Linked DNA regions of Rhinolophus ferrumequinum. The protein of the gene in region 1 interacts with the protein of each later gene in a biochemical or structural test. Links are inferred from orthologs where the notes say so. Each region holds a gene or a part of one and is shown on either strand. Other genes may lie near its edges.

The links. The genes of interacting proteins can lie anywhere in the genome.
Region 2: of the proteins of SERPINF2 (region 1) and ELANE, one has a biochemical effect on the other in vitro, tested with the Homo sapiens proteins (2 studies listed by BioGRID). The link is inferred for Rhinolophus ferrumequinum from reciprocal best matches to the Homo sapiens genes SERPINF2 and ELANE.

The regions. Positions count from the first base shown.
Region 1 is NC_046304.1:16,210,259-16,218,269, reverse strand, and holds the start of SERPINF2 (alpha-2-antiplasmin), read left to right. Parts: upstream 1-4,971; 5' UTR 4,972-5,078; exon of another isoform or gene 5,079-5,125; intron 5,126-6,297; 5' UTR 6,298-6,301; coding exon 6,302-6,364; intron 6,365-6,517; coding exon 6,518-6,556; intron 6,557-6,675; coding exon 6,676-6,738; intron 6,739-7,027; coding exon 7,028-7,229; intron 7,230-7,691; coding exon 7,692-7,835; intron 7,836-7,976; coding exon 7,977-8,011. Other genes in the region: WDR81 (WD repeat-containing protein 81), read left to right, coding at 1-656, 1,316-1,461, 1,745-1,924, 2,959-3,279.
Region 2 is NC_046301.1:62,057,726-62,064,942, reverse strand, and holds ELANE (neutrophil elastase), read left to right. Parts: upstream 1-4,173; 5' UTR 4,174-4,262; coding exon 4,263-4,329; intron 4,330-4,738; coding exon 4,739-4,895; intron 4,896-5,199; coding exon 5,200-5,341; intron 5,342-6,057; coding exon 6,058-6,288; intron 6,289-6,449; coding exon 6,450-6,650; 3' UTR 6,651-6,752; downstream 6,753-7,217. Other genes in the region: PRTN3 (myeloblastin), read left to right, coding at 1-205, 794-1,018. UniProt on the Homo sapiens protein: Serine protease that modifies the functions of natural killer cells, monocytes and granulocytes. Inhibits C5a-dependent neutrophil enzyme release and chemotaxis. Promotes cleavage of GSDMB, thereby inhibiting pyroptosis. Promotes blood coagulation.

The DNA of each region.
Region 1 (8,011 bases):
ACTGGTGGGGGAGCTGGCGGGGCTGTATTTGGAGAGCATCAGCCCGAGCAGTCGCAACCCTGCCAGCGTGGAGCCCACCATGCCAAGCACAGGCCCTGAGTCAGACCCCCAGGGTGGGGGCTGCCCTCAGGATGACAGCCACTCGGGGACCTTTGGGAGTGTCTTGGTCGGGAACCGCATCCAGATCCCCGATGACTCTCAGCCTGAGAGCCCCGGCCCGCTGGGCCCCATTTCTGGGGTGGGCAATGGGGGCCTTGGCAGTGAGAGCGAGGACAATGCGCTGAAGCGGGAGCTGCCACGGAGCGCCCACGGGCTGAGCGGGAACTGGCTGGCGTACTGGCAGTACGAGATTGGCGTGAGCCAGCAGGACGCCCACTTTCACTTCCACCAAATCCGCCTGCAAAGCTTCCCGGGCCACTCGGGGGCCGTCAAGTGTGTGGCGCCCCTGAGCAGTGAGGACTTCTTCCTGAGTGGCAGCAAGGACCGCACCGTGCGCCTCTGGCCGCTCTACAACTCTGGGGACGGCACCAGCGAGATGGCCCCACGCCTCATCTACGCCCAGCACCGCAAGAGCGTCTTCTTTGTGGGCCAGCTGGAGGCCCCGCAGTGCGTAGTGAGCTGTGACGGGGCTGTGCACGTGTGGGACCCCTTCACAGGTGAGCGGGCCCAGGTGAGGCCTGTGTGTGACTGCCATCCTCTACCCCACCGGGCCTCTGGGAATGGGGCTCAAGGGTGGGGTGGTTGGGGTATCACGGTGTGTGGTTTGGGGTGACCCAGGGAGGCCACACAGAGGAGCAGTTAGAACTTGGAATCCATTAGACCTTGAGTTTGAATTGTCTCTGCCACCTTTACTTGATGAATGACTTTGAGCAAGTCCCGTCACTGCTGGAAGCGTCAGTTTGCCCTCCTATAAAATGGGAATCAGAGCAACTGGTTTAGGAATTAATGCATGTAGGGGCTTGTTTTAACAGGTGGCATGCAGTACATGTTTGGTAAATTGTTGCTCCATTAGTTTTTGCCATTATTGGAGGGAGAAATAAAGCTGAAAAGGGGGAGGGGATAGAGTAGCACTGAGGTAGACAGAGGGAGATAGAATTCAGTCAGAGGGTGCTGTGTGAAGAGAGGAGGTTGCTTTGGGGACAGGAACCTGGCCTGGCCATGGAAGCAGGAAGGGGGGAGGGTCAAGAAACATCAAGCATTTTCTGCGATTCTCTGGGATATGGGAGGCAGATATTGGGTAGGTCGGGGATATGAAGAGTCGGGGCTCTTCCGTCAGCTGCTGGGACCTCAGATCCATTGCACCTTCTCTTCTCAGGGAAGACCCTTCGCACGGTGGAGCCATCGGACAGCCGGGTGCCCCTGACCGCCGTGGCTGTCATGCCTGCCCCCCACACCAGCATCACCATGGCCAGCTCCGACTCGACCTTGCGCTTTGTGGACTGCAGGAAGCCCGGACTGCAGGTCAGGGGAGTCTGGTCCCCTGAGTCCTGGCCTAAGTGCCTGGCAGTGGGGAGGGACCTCAAAGGGAGAAGGCCAGGGCGTTGTTTCTTTCTGGAGACAGCTCACCCACAGCAGCAAACCCTGGGGGATGGGACTCTGGCCTGTGAAGGGAGGCGCTCTCCCCTCGATGGGGGACAGAGGCTCAGGCCTTCCAGCTGTGGGGACCTGGGGGCTGAGCAGGACCTCAGAGAGAAGCGGGTTGCAGCCGGTGGTGGCATCTCACTTGGTCTCCCTCTGCCTGCAGCATGAGTTCCGCCTGGGCGGAGGGCTGAACCCTGGGCTGGTCCGCTCCCTGGCTGTTAGCCCCAGTGGCCGCAGTGTCGTGGCTGGCTTCTCCTCGGGTTTCATGGTGCTCTTGGACACCCGTACAGGCCTGGTTCTGCGTGGCTGGCCTGCCCATGAAGGGGACATCCTGCAGATCAAGGTAACAGACCGGATTCCCTTCCCCTCCCCACTGCTCTGGGCTCCCACCTCTGGACAGGCTTAAGCTGATCTCCCTGACACCTGCCCAAGGGCAAGTGTAAGGGAGGGCCAGGAACCAGGTGCACTGTGGGCACTTGGCAGGAGCAAGGCCATGGGGGCGTGCCCCAGGGGGCCGAGCTGACCCTGCTACTCCCTGGAGATGTTCTAATGAGTAACCCTTGTCCATATTTGTCTTGCTTGGAGGATCAGGGGTCGGGTCCTGTCCGTGACCCAATTCAGGTTAAATAAAGCTCGGCTGGGAGGATGTTTACTGCCCCCAGACCACTGAGCAGAGTCCATACCCCCTGCTGGGCTGCCCTGGTGGGGGCAGGGACAGACTGGGCATGGGCATCCTCCCGCTTCCCCCCTACCCCCTCCTTTCTTAATCACAGACCTCAGGGAGGCATAGGAGGTGAGACACAGGGCTACTTGTGGGATAATTTTTCCAGGCAACTGGGACTCCTTCCCCATCCTAAGTGGAGGCCAGGGGACGTGCACTGCCACTGCGGGGGGCAGGCTGCCTGGACTCCCTCCGGGACTCCCCAGAAGCCCCTGGGCTCCAGGTGCCTCTCATTTCTGACTTTCCAATCCTGACTATTCAGGAGGTCCCTGGGGTCAGCCTGGGTATTAATCCTGGCTCTGCCACTTACTGCCTCTGTGACTTTGGTATGATTTACTTAACTTTTCTGAGCCTTAGTTTTTCTCTGTAAAATGGGAACACTGACAGCATCTACCTCATAGAGTTGTTACAAAGATGAAAAGGTAACGTGGTAACGTGGCCTGTCTAACACAAGGCCTGAATATAGCAAGTATTCCAACTATAGTGAGTGACACATTGATATAGTCATATTAACTAACATTAACATAGTGTGAGAGGGTGGTAGCTTGTCCACTGCTCACGATGCCGGTCTTTCTGGGAGGAAACAGGAAGACCCTGAGGCTTGGTGGGCACCCGGGAGGCCCAGGCCCTGCTGAGGCTCTCCTCTCCCTGAGCAGGCGGTGGAAGGCAGCATCCTGGTCAGCTCCTCCTCTGACCACTCTTTGACCGTCTGGAAGGAGCTGGAACAGAAACCCACACACCATTACAAGTCGGCGTCCGACCCTATTCACACCTTCGACCTGTATGGCAGCGAGGTGGTCACCGGAACCGTGGCCAACAAGATTGGCGTCTGCTCCCTGCTTGAGCCGCCCTCCCAGGCCACCACCAAGCTCAGCTCCGAGAACTTCCGTGGCACACTCACCAGCCTGGCCTTGCTGCCTACCAAACGCCACCTCCTGCTGGGCTCAGACAATGGAGTCATCCGCCTCCTGGCATAGGCTGAGGCGGGAGCTGGCCAGGCCCTGTTGGGCAGACACCCTCCGGTCGTCCACCCCCCTACCCTTGTTTCCCCACTGACCCCCTTCATGCAAGCCTCTCACCCCATGCCCTGTGTACCCACCCACATGGCCTGCCAGCTACGGCAGGGTAGGGATCTGGGTTCCTGACCCCCAGAGCCACCGAGGCTGATCTCATTCACGGCTTGGGGAGGTGCTGCTCCTAGCCAGCAGGGAGCAAGAGGAGGAGCTGGGAAAGCATCGCAGCGCTCTCTTCTCCCCAGGTCTGCCCTCTGGATCCACATGGGGACAGGGAGGCTTGGGAAGGGGAGGGGAGACTGGCCCTGCCCACCCAGTCTCTAGCCAAGCCCTCCCCCTTGCTGGGCTCTCTCTATCCTTGTCCCCCAAGGACAGGGGCACTTCCCCAGTCCAGGACCCCATGGTGCTTGGGCTCTAGCCTCTGAGGAGGGCTGGCCATGGTCCAGGAGTTAAGGGCCTTGGGCTGAGGTTTAAGTGTCCACCCAGCCAGGTCCTGTCCAGTGTGGGACCAGTAGGACAAAAAAGAGGTCAGGACCAGGGGAGGGACGATGGACTAGGCTAGCTGGTGCCTGGCAGGAGTGACCCAGCCTTGCCTGCCCACCCCTAACCACAGTGTTTGTGCCTTGAGCCGAGGAGGCAGCCCATGGGCCCAGAACTCCGGCGAGCATGGGGAGGGGAAATCCAAGACCCTGAGAGAAGGGGTGAGAAGAATTCCATCTCTGCATCTCAGATATCTCCCAAGGGACAGGAAGACCCTGCCGTCCCCAGGTCCTCACATTCTGGAGCAGAGATGAGGTCTGGGACTGGGCCCCTGCTGTCTCCTCACTATTTGCAATAGATGTAAATATGACCAATAAATCCTTTGGAAGAGCCATGGAACTGAGTGAGGCTTCTCTTGATGGTGGTGTCAGGTGGGGAAAAGTTGAGATCCTGCAGCTTGCAGGGCAATGAGGAGAGGGTGAGGATAGGGCAGGAGCTGGGGAGGCAGCCTGATCATTGCTCTTCAGGCAGCACAGGGACAGGGCTTCTCATTCGTGTAGCCCCAAGCCAGTTTCCAGAACCTTCATCCTTGGGGAGGGTAAGGAGACATTGCTCCTGGTGAGGTAGGAAGCTGAGAGAGGCTGTGTCCCTCAGCGTCTCTCCCCACCCCCTGCCTTCTGGACTCAGGCTGAAGGCAGCCAACCAGGATACGCGACATGTAAGGCTTGGTATGGGCATCCTACCCTGGGTTCCCTACATAGGCTCCTATCTATAGCTTCCCCTTCCCTCCCCTCAGGAGGGGGAAGCAGTTGTGGGGGAGAGGAAAGGACATTGGAAATGGGAACCTGGATGTAACTCTGAGTCCAGCTCTGTATCCTTGGGCGGATCACATAGCCTCTCTGAGCCTGACTAAAGCCGGGATAACCCCCCACCTCTGTCCTTCCTGGATCTGTTCTCCAGATGAGGACAGCCTCCTCCACTGTCTCCTGAACTTCCTTTCTTCAGGCTCAGGTGGGACCCAAATCCATGTGGCTCCAGGTGGCGGTCTCAGGATTAGATGCCCTGGTGGGAAACAGGCTTCCGGCCCCAATATCAATGTTTAACCGGATGTGCAGGTCAATATTTACCAGAGGAGAAAGCTGTCTGAACAGGGGTTGGCTGAGAGCAAAGGTCCTGGTGGGAGGGGAGGGCTCAGCTGGGTTGGCTGGAGCCCGGGCAGAGCGTGGGGAGCACCCAAGTGGGGCCAGAGGGACATTGTGTTCAGCAGAGAGGAGCCGGCAGAGGTAGGAGGGGAGGGGTGGCTCTGCCTGCTTCTTGAGCAGGCGAGAAGGTAGGAGCTGCCCACCTGGCTAAGGGGGTCTGGGCTGAGGGCCTGTTATTTCTCAGTCTCCTGGGGTGATGTGGGGCCAAGGTGGGGGGCCCAGGAAGAGTCTCTCTAGGACTTGAAAAACTGGAGGGATTTTCTTGACAGGAAGATTCAAAAGCCCAGGTTGGGTATCAGGGCCCTGGCAAAAGTCCCTTGTGTATGATGAGGGTCCAGCCAGGGGTGATAGAAGGATCCTCCAAAAAGACTGGCCCCGAGATGGCGGCTGGGTGATGTGAGACCTGCCTGAGGCTAAACCAAGACCTGCCCATCCCCTCCTGCCAGCCTGGCTTCCCGGAGCCAGCCTGGGGCAGAGTGTTTCCCATAAGTCCAAAGGTGGCTCTGGCCAAAGTCATTCATTAGGTGCTGCTGTTAGGTCAACAAGGTGGCTCTCCGCGCCACCCCACTACCCCTGCTGACACCTCAGGGCCTCACAGGCCCGTCTACCCTTGTTGGCATAGACGGGCCAGACCAGTCAGAAAAGGTGGGTCAGATGGATAGCAGGTTGGAGATGAGTTTTGGGGATGGAGCCCCAGGAAAGGGCAGGATTCTCAGAAGAGGGGCCTTGCACTAGGCTGACAACAGTCATGACTGAGTGCCAGGCATTGTACTGGGGCTCACAAAGACTATCTTATTTTGGTCCTCACAATGCCCGAGGGAGGAGGCCGGGACTTGTGCCATCATTTTACAAGATAAGGAGAAGCCCGGAGGGGTTAAGGGAGATGTCCAAGTTCCTCTGGCAAGAGTCAGAATCTGGATTCAAACCCAGGTCTGACTCACAATGCCAGTCCTTGAAGAATGAGGACTTTTTTTTGTTCTGATAATATTTTCCCCCTGTGAACCAAAACATTTTCAGTGTATGAAATGTGAAAAACCAGAAAACACAAAGAGGGGAAAAACAATTGAGGAGAGAAAATCCCACCCTTCAGAACTGAGAGCCACAGCTAATGTGTTTGGGCGGGTGTGTTGCAACTGGCATTGTCCCCTCAGCAGTGATGGCTCAGGACTGACAGCCAGGGATCAGGTGGGTGGAATTCCACGGTGGGTGTGGTGGCTTGGCCTCAGGTGGCCAGTCAGATAATTGGTGATAGTGTGTAGGGAGGGACGAGGTGGGCGCTGAGGCTTCCTGTCCCTCTCAGGAACATGGCGCTGCTCCGGGGGCTCCTGGTACTCAGCTTGTCCTGCCTGCAAGGCCCCTACTTGGTGGTGAGCCTGGGCGCTGGTCTGGGTCTGGGTGGGGAGGGAAGGTGGGCATGGGAGAGGCTAGAAGTCTGACGGGGAAGAAGAGGAGGGCTGGACGGTGGGAGGGTTTGGCTCTGAGGGGGGTCCCCCCTCCTCTCCTCATCCCTTTCTCAACAGTTCTCTCCAGCCAGTGCCATGGAACGCTGGGGCCAGCAGGTAATAGGGAGTGAGGGGACAGGATGCAGAGGAAGGCCCTGAGGGGCTTCACCTGTGGCTTCTGCAGGGTGGGGGACCTGTGGGAAGGTCTCTCTCCATCTGTTTTCTCCTATCTTCAGACGATGATTGGGCAGACCCAGGAGAAGCTGTCCCTACTTAGCTTCCTCAAGTTGGGCAACCAGGTACAACCAGGTGGGGCTGGGGAAGAGTGGGCGGGGCCCGAGGGAGGAGGTCCAATCAGCAGGGTGGAGAGAACTGGGGGGCGTGGTCATGAGGCTGAGGCCTGAAGGGAGAGGGTGAGAGGGACCAGAGGAAGGGATCCAGTCCCCAGGATGCCATTGCCTGTGTGACTTCTATCAGGACTGGGACAAAGGCCCTGCTGTCCCCAGCCACAAGGCTATGAAGGAGATATTCAGCACAGAACCTGGATCTGACCCCTGAACGCCACTGACCCCTGATATATCCCTGCAGGAGTCTGGTGGCCAAAGCGCCCTGCAGAAGGCCACAGGAGACTGCAGCAAGGCCCCAACTCCGGAGCAGACCCGCAGGCTGGCCCAGGCCCTGATGGCCTTCACCACAGATCTCTTCTCCCTGGTGGCCCAAAGGTCTACCAGCCCCAATCTCATCCTGTCGCCTCTGAGTGTGGCCCTGGCACTGTCTCACCTGGCACTAGGTACTGTGGCAGCACCCGTCCAGACCAGCAAAGCTGGGAGGCCAGTAGGAACTCACTACTCCGGAGTTACTCCTCCACTGGGGTCACTTGGACATTTGGTAAAAATGCCGGCCCACCTCCAGTCTCTGTGAATCAAATTCTCAGGGATTAGGCCTGGGGATCTGTTTCTGGTGACTTTTATGCAAGAGTTTGTTAGCTACAGTGTCTCCATTGGACTGGAGGGTGTCATTGTGGGAAACTGAGGTCCAGAAAGAGATCATTTTCGTGAGGTCACTGACACGGTCAGCAGCAGAGATGAAAGTAGAACTTGGGAGCCTGTCACTCAGGCCAGTTCAGTGGACTTGGGAGGACAGTGTGGGGTTCCACGGGCGTGCTCATAGTGGGTACTCAAGAGGGACTGGGTGGGCAGTAGGGGTGGGAAAGAATCTCAGCCTGGGCCACAGCTCGTGTGGTCCCCTCCAGGTGCTCAGAACCAAACGCTGCAGAGGTTGCAGCAGGCGCTGCATGCAGACTCGGGGCCCTGCCTCCCCCACCTGCTGAGCCACCTCTGCCAAGACCTGGACCCTGGGGCATTCCGATTGGCTGCCAGAATGTACCTGCAGAAAGGTAGGTGCTGGTGGCAGGGAGCTCCATCGGTAGTGCCCTGGGGTGAATGGGGTGAGGGAGGTGGGCTTGGCCTCAGGTAGCCAGTTGGAATCATTGCTAGCTGTGGAGCCCTGAGAACAGTTTGTGTTCGCTTCTGTGTAGGATTTCCCATCAAAGAGGACTTCCTGAAACAATCA
Region 2 (7,217 bases), on another chromosome or scaffold:
CCAGGTTGCGGTGGCCCAGCTCCCCCAGCAGGACCAGCAGCTGCCCCACGGCACTCAGTGCCTGGCCATGGGCTGGGGCAGGCTGGGCACCCGTGCGCCGTTGCCCCACGTCCTGCAGGAGCTCAATGTCACCGTGGTCACCTTCCTGTGCCGGCCACATAATGTGTGCACCTTTGTTCCCCGTCGCAAAGCTGGCATCTGCTTCGTATGTATCCGCTCAGCTCCCAGTGCCCCACACCGCGTTTGGATGGCTTGAGGGACCTCCCTAGAGGCTGGAGCTGCCCTGGAGCAGAGGAGGCTCCAGCGGCCACCCAGGGGAAGGAGGGTGGGTGGTAGGCTGCAGTTCGAATCCACTTCCTCTTCACTGAGCAGCTGCAGGCTGGGCCTCAGTCTCCCCATCTGGAAGGAGGGTACACCCATTGTGAGGGTTCAGAGGATGATCCATGGAACAGCCTCAGCTCCCACAGGCACAGAGGGGGCCGCTCAGGTCATACCTGGTGGCCCTCATAGGTCTGGGGACTGTCCCTTCCTGGGGCCCTCTCAGACCTGGGGAGGTGTGGGTGACTAGCCTAGTCTCAATCCAGGGATCCAGGTATACAGATGAGGCCACTCTGGAAGAAACGCCTGCTGTCTTCCAGAGTGGCCTCATCTCCCTCTCTCGTCCACGTGTCCTAAAGAAAATTTTGGACTGGAAACATTTTACCCGTAAATGGCGTTAGGTCGTCTTCAGCCACCCTTTCCCTGACGTAGCCAAGTCCTGGGTGACTGAGTGACCTGTCCCCACACTTCACAGGGGGACTCAGGCGGCCCCTTGATCTGCGACAGCGTCATCCAGGCCGTGGACTCCTTCTTGATCCGGGAGTGCGCTACCCGCCAGTACCCCGACTTCTTCGCTCGAGTGTCCCTCTACGTGGACTGGATTCAATCCGTGTTGAGAAGCGCAGGGGGCCGAGGACAGCCCCCGAGCCTCCCCTTCCAGACTGATGCCCCAGGGCTGAGGCCAGACAGCAAGCCCTAACAGGACAGGGAGGGGGCCGGTGCTCAGCCCATGGTGACATCAATAAAACTTGAAACCCCCCTCTGGCTCGTGTCTGTCGCGAATGTGGGAGAGTGTCCCCAGCATGTGAGTCCCCAGACCCCAGACTCGGGATGGGGATTTGGAGCCAAGGCCTGGAGGTCCGTGGAGGGCTCAGGTCACAGTGCATTCTCCCCACCCTCCCATGCCCACAGACATGGGATCTAATCCAACCCCGCTGCTATGGCCCTGTGCAAGCTGCTGTCCATCTCTGTGGCCCAGTTTCATTGTCTGGAAAAGGGAGTCACCCCAGACATTTCCCAGAACTGTCCACGGAGCTTCACCCTGACCCTCAAGGCTGGGGGGTGTCATTTCCAGCTCTGTGTCTCCAGCTGGGGGTGTGTGGTGAGGCTGCTGGAAGACCAGGCTGTGGTAACAGAGAATGCCTGGGGCCTGTGGGGCTCCTCCCCGGTCAGAGGCAGGCAGAGCAGCCATTAGGGAGGCTTCCTGGAGGAGGCGGCAATGACTGAGGTGACTGCCAATGCACAAACAGGAACAGGAGGGGAAGGGCCCCCAGACAGGGGCATAGCGAGGGCAGAGGGACTGCAAGGCTGCACTGCAGCTGGAATGGAGCAAGGCAAGGTGGTGGGGGAGGAGAGTTCAGAGAGGTGGTGGGAATAGAGGATGCCAGACCACAGATATGAACTGGGGTAAGCCTAGAGGAGAGGCCTGAGGCAGGGAGCGGTAGAGGTCATTGGCCAGTGGGCAAATGGCCATGGGAATGAGGCTCAGAGAGAGGGGCCAAACTGCTCATGGGACACACTGGAATTGGAAGGCGGATCTTTCGTTATTGATTTACTCTGCCACCACCTGGTGGCAGCGTACAAAATACAAGCAAGAACGAGAATTCCCAGGCCTGCCCAGTTCTGCAACTCTTTTATACCTCAGTTACCACCCCAGTGTAGGTGCTATGACTGGTTTACACCAGCAGCACCAGGAGAAAATGTGTGCGGAGACAGGGGACCTGGATGAATCCTGGGAAATATAAGCTAATGAGTGTCAGGGGAATTCCCTGCTGGGAATTCCCTGCATCTCCCAGGGGCCCAAGGCGGGGAAGCGGTTTCTATAAAAAGCCCACAGTGTTGGGGGTAGAAGAGTTTTGCTAGAGGGAATGCTGGAAACAGAAAGACCAACAAAAACACCGCCAGGAGGGTTCTCTGGGGCTGATGTGTGTGAAAGATGACCCAGGGAAGCCCTACACAGCAGAGACCAGACCCAATAGTGGGAATTGGTGGGGTTTAGGGAGGTGTTGGGTGGATTTGCCAGAGGTTAGCTGAGCTGTTGAAAGAAGCCCATGGGAATAACAAGCAGGATGATCAGCACACACTTGGAAGGCCTCAGGGTGAAAGGGATTCCTTGAGGGGAGGGTGTGGGGGTAGTCTCTGCTGCTGGTGACCACAGCTGTACGGGGTTGCTTCCTATAGCTCAGGGATCCCCAGGCCTCCAGCAGTGGGGAAAGGCACTCAAATCATTGTTTTCTTACTGGGCTGTAACTGAGACCTAAAAATGCGCGCGTCTTACTTGTAAGCTCCATGACTCATTATAAGGGTGTCGCCAGTGTCGCCACTACTCTGATTGCAAATTAGAAGCCCAGTGTTCGCATCCTAGCCTATACCCACCAGACAATCACCATCCTGCCCTCCTGGAGGTGGTTAATGGCTAACAAACCCTCCAGGATATCACTTTCTTATCCAAAATCTTTACAAATGTTCATTCATTTAATCCTTGGGACAGCCTATGTGATGGAGCCTATTATTATAACTTTCCTTTTACAGAAAAGGAAACTGAGGCACAGAAGAGTTAAGTCAGTGGCCTGAAGTTATGTAGTGGGCAAGTGGCCACACCAGGATATAAGCTTGACCACCATGAGATGTGGGAACATAGTATACAGGTGGTGATCGATAAATGCAGCTTTGGTTAAATGGGGTCTTTCTGCCTGAGCCACTCTTCCCCCAAAGACATGGCTTCCTCCACTCTCCCCCATTCCAGGACTGGAAACAGGACTGTGTATCCAGCAGGTGCTTACTCAGTGCTCTATGATAACTTTAATGCAATTGGGTGGGAGCCCTGCCAAGCAGGGAGCGGGGTAGGACTGGTTGATACGGGAGGAATGAAGGGCAGACATGGAGTGCTTGCTGTGCGCCAGGGTCTGGGAGCGCAGTGCTGTCATCCTTACTTGAGAGAGAAGGGAGTTTGTTTGCTCGTGGCCATGCATCGGGGTCGACCCAGGGACGAACAGGATTCCAGCTCTGGTTCCGGGCACCCCTGGTGCTCCCGCCTGCCTCTTCCTGCCGATGGATCCGTTGTTTCCCTCCCCTGAACCCTGCTCCGGGCCAGGAGAACGTTGCTTCTTGCGACAGCCTTGGCTATGGCCGTTGCAGCTGGAGCATCCTGGGGGAGGTGGGAAGAGGAACCAGGCCATGGGGTGGGGGTTGGGCCTTGTTGTTCGGATTGAATTCTTCCACTGGCCCAGCAGAAGCTCTCCAACTTCAGGAGGGAAGGGAGTTCAGCAAAACTCAGAGAGAAGGGGTTCTTTCCCAGAACGTCTGTTGGCAGCCAGAGACTGATGTGGCCCTGGGTGGGAGGGAGTCCCTGTTGTGGGCAACAATCAAAGAGAGGTTGGCAGGCCAAGCCCCAAGAGGAAGGTGGAGCAAATCACCCTCCAGCTGGAAACTGTGGGGCCTGGGTTCAAGCCTAGCTTACCCACCGTGTCACTGTGTAGGAACTCATGGGGGAACACCTCGCTGTGCCTCAGTTTCCTCTTCTCAAGTGGGACCCAGCAGTCCTCCATCACCCCTGTGCCCTGGGTAAACTAAGGCAAGTGGGGAAACCAGCCAACGCCCTTTGGGCCTAGGCTTGCCAGATTTAGCAAAAATATAAGACATCCAGTTAAACTTGAATGCTAGGTAAACAATGACTAAGTTCCTAAATAAGTATAATATTTGGGACACACACTAAAAAACATTGTTTATCTGATTTCAAATTTAATTGTGTGTCCTGAATTTTATCTGGAGCCAACCCAGGCCCCTCACGCCGCCCCCTCCCCCCACCCCCACTGTCTTCCCATCATCGCCCTTGTCCTGGAGGTGGGGAAAGGAAGTGGGGCAATGCAACGGTCCCAGGCATCAAGCCATAAGAAGGCCCGGTGGGCACGGGGGTGCACAGACATCAAAGCCCCCGCCCGACCATGACCCAAAGCTGCAGACCGTCCGGTCCTACCTTCACCTCCATCCTGCTGACCATGCTGCTGGGCGGTGAGTGGGGCCACATGTCTGTCCATCTCTCTCTCGGCCTCCATTCCTGCCTCTCCACTGTGCCCTAAACCTGCGTGGCCTCTTCACCCTCATGGGGAGGTGATGGCTGGGATGGGGAGACCTGTTTCCAGAGAAAGAGACCGAGGTCCAGAGTGGTGAAGAGCCCAGAGTTTGAACTGGGGCATCACTGGGCATGCTCTGGGGACTGCAAAGCCAAATTAAATCCAGATCTAGCTGTGCCCTGGCAGGGGGCAGTAGGAGGCCCCCTATCTCTCTGTGCCTCAGTTTCCTCATCTGGCACATGAAGAGCCCTGATCTGTGGGTTCCTGGTGAGAGTTCAAGGGCTGACTGGCTCAGCAGGTGGGGCTCCTGCGTGGCACTCACTACCCCCGCCTCCACGTATCCCCAGGTCCCGCGCTAGCCTCTGAGATCGTGGGTGGTCGGCAGGCCCAGCCCCACGCATGGCCCTTCATGGTGTCTCTGCAGCGGCAAGGAGGCCACTTCTGCGGTGGCACCCTGGTGGCCCCGAACTTTGTCATGTCGGCCGCGCACTGTGTGAACGGCATGTGAGTGATCGCCTTCCCTGCCCTCGCCACCCCGTGTGTCTTCCCTTCTCAGACCCTCTGTTTCCACATCTGTCAAAGGGGGAGAGTGAGACCAGGGCCCAGGCTCCTCCAGGGGTCCCCCATGAACGCATCTCCCCTACCAGGCCCAAGTGGGGGCGTTCAGCCAATGAGCCCAAGCATCTGCCCAGGGTGGCGATGCTACCCCTGGGTGTAGAGCCGGGCTTGGCTGAGCTCTGGAGTCTCTCAGCTACCCCCAACGCCTGGGGCCACCTCGAATCACCTCCTGCACCCATTTTGCCTATAGAAACTTCCAGAGGGTGCGGGCGGTGCTGGGGGCACACAACCTGGGGCAGCGTGAGCCCACCCAACAGTCGTTTGCCATCCAGCAAGTCTTTGAAAATGGCTTCGACCCCGAGAGGCTGCTGAACGACATCGTGATTCTGAAGGTGCAAGGCCAGTGGGGTGGGAAGTGATGCCCAGGCAGGGGACCGGCAGGTGCAAAGGCCCAGGGCCAAAGGCTTGGAAAGGGCAGAGACAGAGCGGAAACACTGGAGGTCACATGCGGCTCTAACTTGATAGTTCGTCTCTGTGCCTCAGTTTCCACTCATGTAACCTGGGGAAACAAGCCCCTCCTGGCAAAGCTGTTGAGAGAGTGAACGAGAAGACACAGAGAGATCTAGACACAGAGAGATCTAGTTGTCAATCAACAAAATGTTATGATTATTTGTGTTTGATGGCCCTGTGCCCAGGGACTGTTCCTGCCTTTGTGAAATGGCAAAATTCCCCACATCTGGGCTGAAGGGAAACTGGAGGGAGAAACCCTCCCTTCCCCACTGCTGGCAGAGTTATGATTATTCTCTGGAATGTTTTAGAATACGGTTTCGTTGTCATTGGTGTTGCCCATAGCTTGTTATATTGAGTATGTATGTTTACTCCTCTCAATACACATCCAGGGACGCCCTGAGCCACTGTTGTTGTTCCTATTTCAGAGATGGGAAAACTGAGACTGAGGGTGGGGAGCATCTCACTGGGTGGGCAGCCTACTCCGTAAAATCCCAGAACCATGGTGGGACCTTATGTGGGGAAATTGAGGCCCAGAAAGGGGAGGGCCGGTGCCCACCTCCCTGTGTGACTCTCCTGTCCTCTGCCCTGCCCACTACAGCTCAATGGGTCAGCCACCATCAATGCCAATGTGCAGGTGGCCCAGCTGCCCGATCAGGACCAAGGCGTGGGCAATGGGGTGCAGTGCCTAGCCATGGGCTGGGGCCGGTTGGGCACCAACCGGCCACCACCCAGAGTCCTGCAGGAGCTCAACGTGACCGTGGTAACATCCCTCTGCCGCCCCACAAATGTGTGCACAATGGTGCCTCGCCGGCGGGCAGGCATCTGCTTCGTAAGTACCCGCATCCCCTCACCACTCCACCCTCACTCCTGCCCAGACTGCAGCAAGTGGAACTGCAGCCAGACCCTGGGAAAGACTTCCCAACTCTGAAGGGCAGTGGGTGGGGAGCCCCGGAAGCCCAGCCTCCCCACCTAGTCTGGCTCCACACACAGGGGGACTCCGGTGGGCCTCTTGTCTGCAACGGGCTGATCCATGGGATTGACTCCTTCATCCGGGGAAGCTGTGGCTCCGGCTTGTACCCAGACGCCTTTGCCCCCGTCGCGCAGTTTGCCGACTGGATCAACTCCATCATTCGCAGCCCCGGTGACCAGCCCCATCTCCACCCCAGGGACCCTGCAAGCAGGATCCGCTAGAAGGGGCTGGCCCTGTCACCCCACCTCACCTGCCCCTGGCTGGGGCCTTCCCACGCTCCGTTATGCAGCATCTGGCACAATAAAAACCCTCTGTTTTGTAGACTGTGTCTTGGTGTTGGTTGTGTAATTGGGCGTTGAAAGCAGTCATGAGAGCATCTTGGGAATCTCACGAGTATGAGCATTGGAGTAAGTTCCTTCTCCACCCTCCACAAAGAATGCCAGTTGCCATTTCTGGTTTCCCTCATGTAAAACCGGGTTTTGTGTGATTAAATTAGCATTGCACGTGGTGATGACACAAAGCACTGTAGCAGGTGTTCGTTGAGTGCTTACCAGGTGCAGGAATCATTCTCAGTCTTTGCAAGTGTTCGCTCATCCAGCCCTCTGAGGCTCCAGCCCTTGTGGCCGGTCCCGTCAGTGCCCTGTTTTACAGAGCAAGAGAGGTGAAGCCCTGTTCGGGAGCCTGGCTTTGAGTCCAAGCTCTAACTTTGGGCAACTTGCTCACTGTCTCTGAGCCTCCGTTTCCCTGCGGGGAGGAGTGAGGTGCTGTATGGTAAGGGGGGTTGGGGT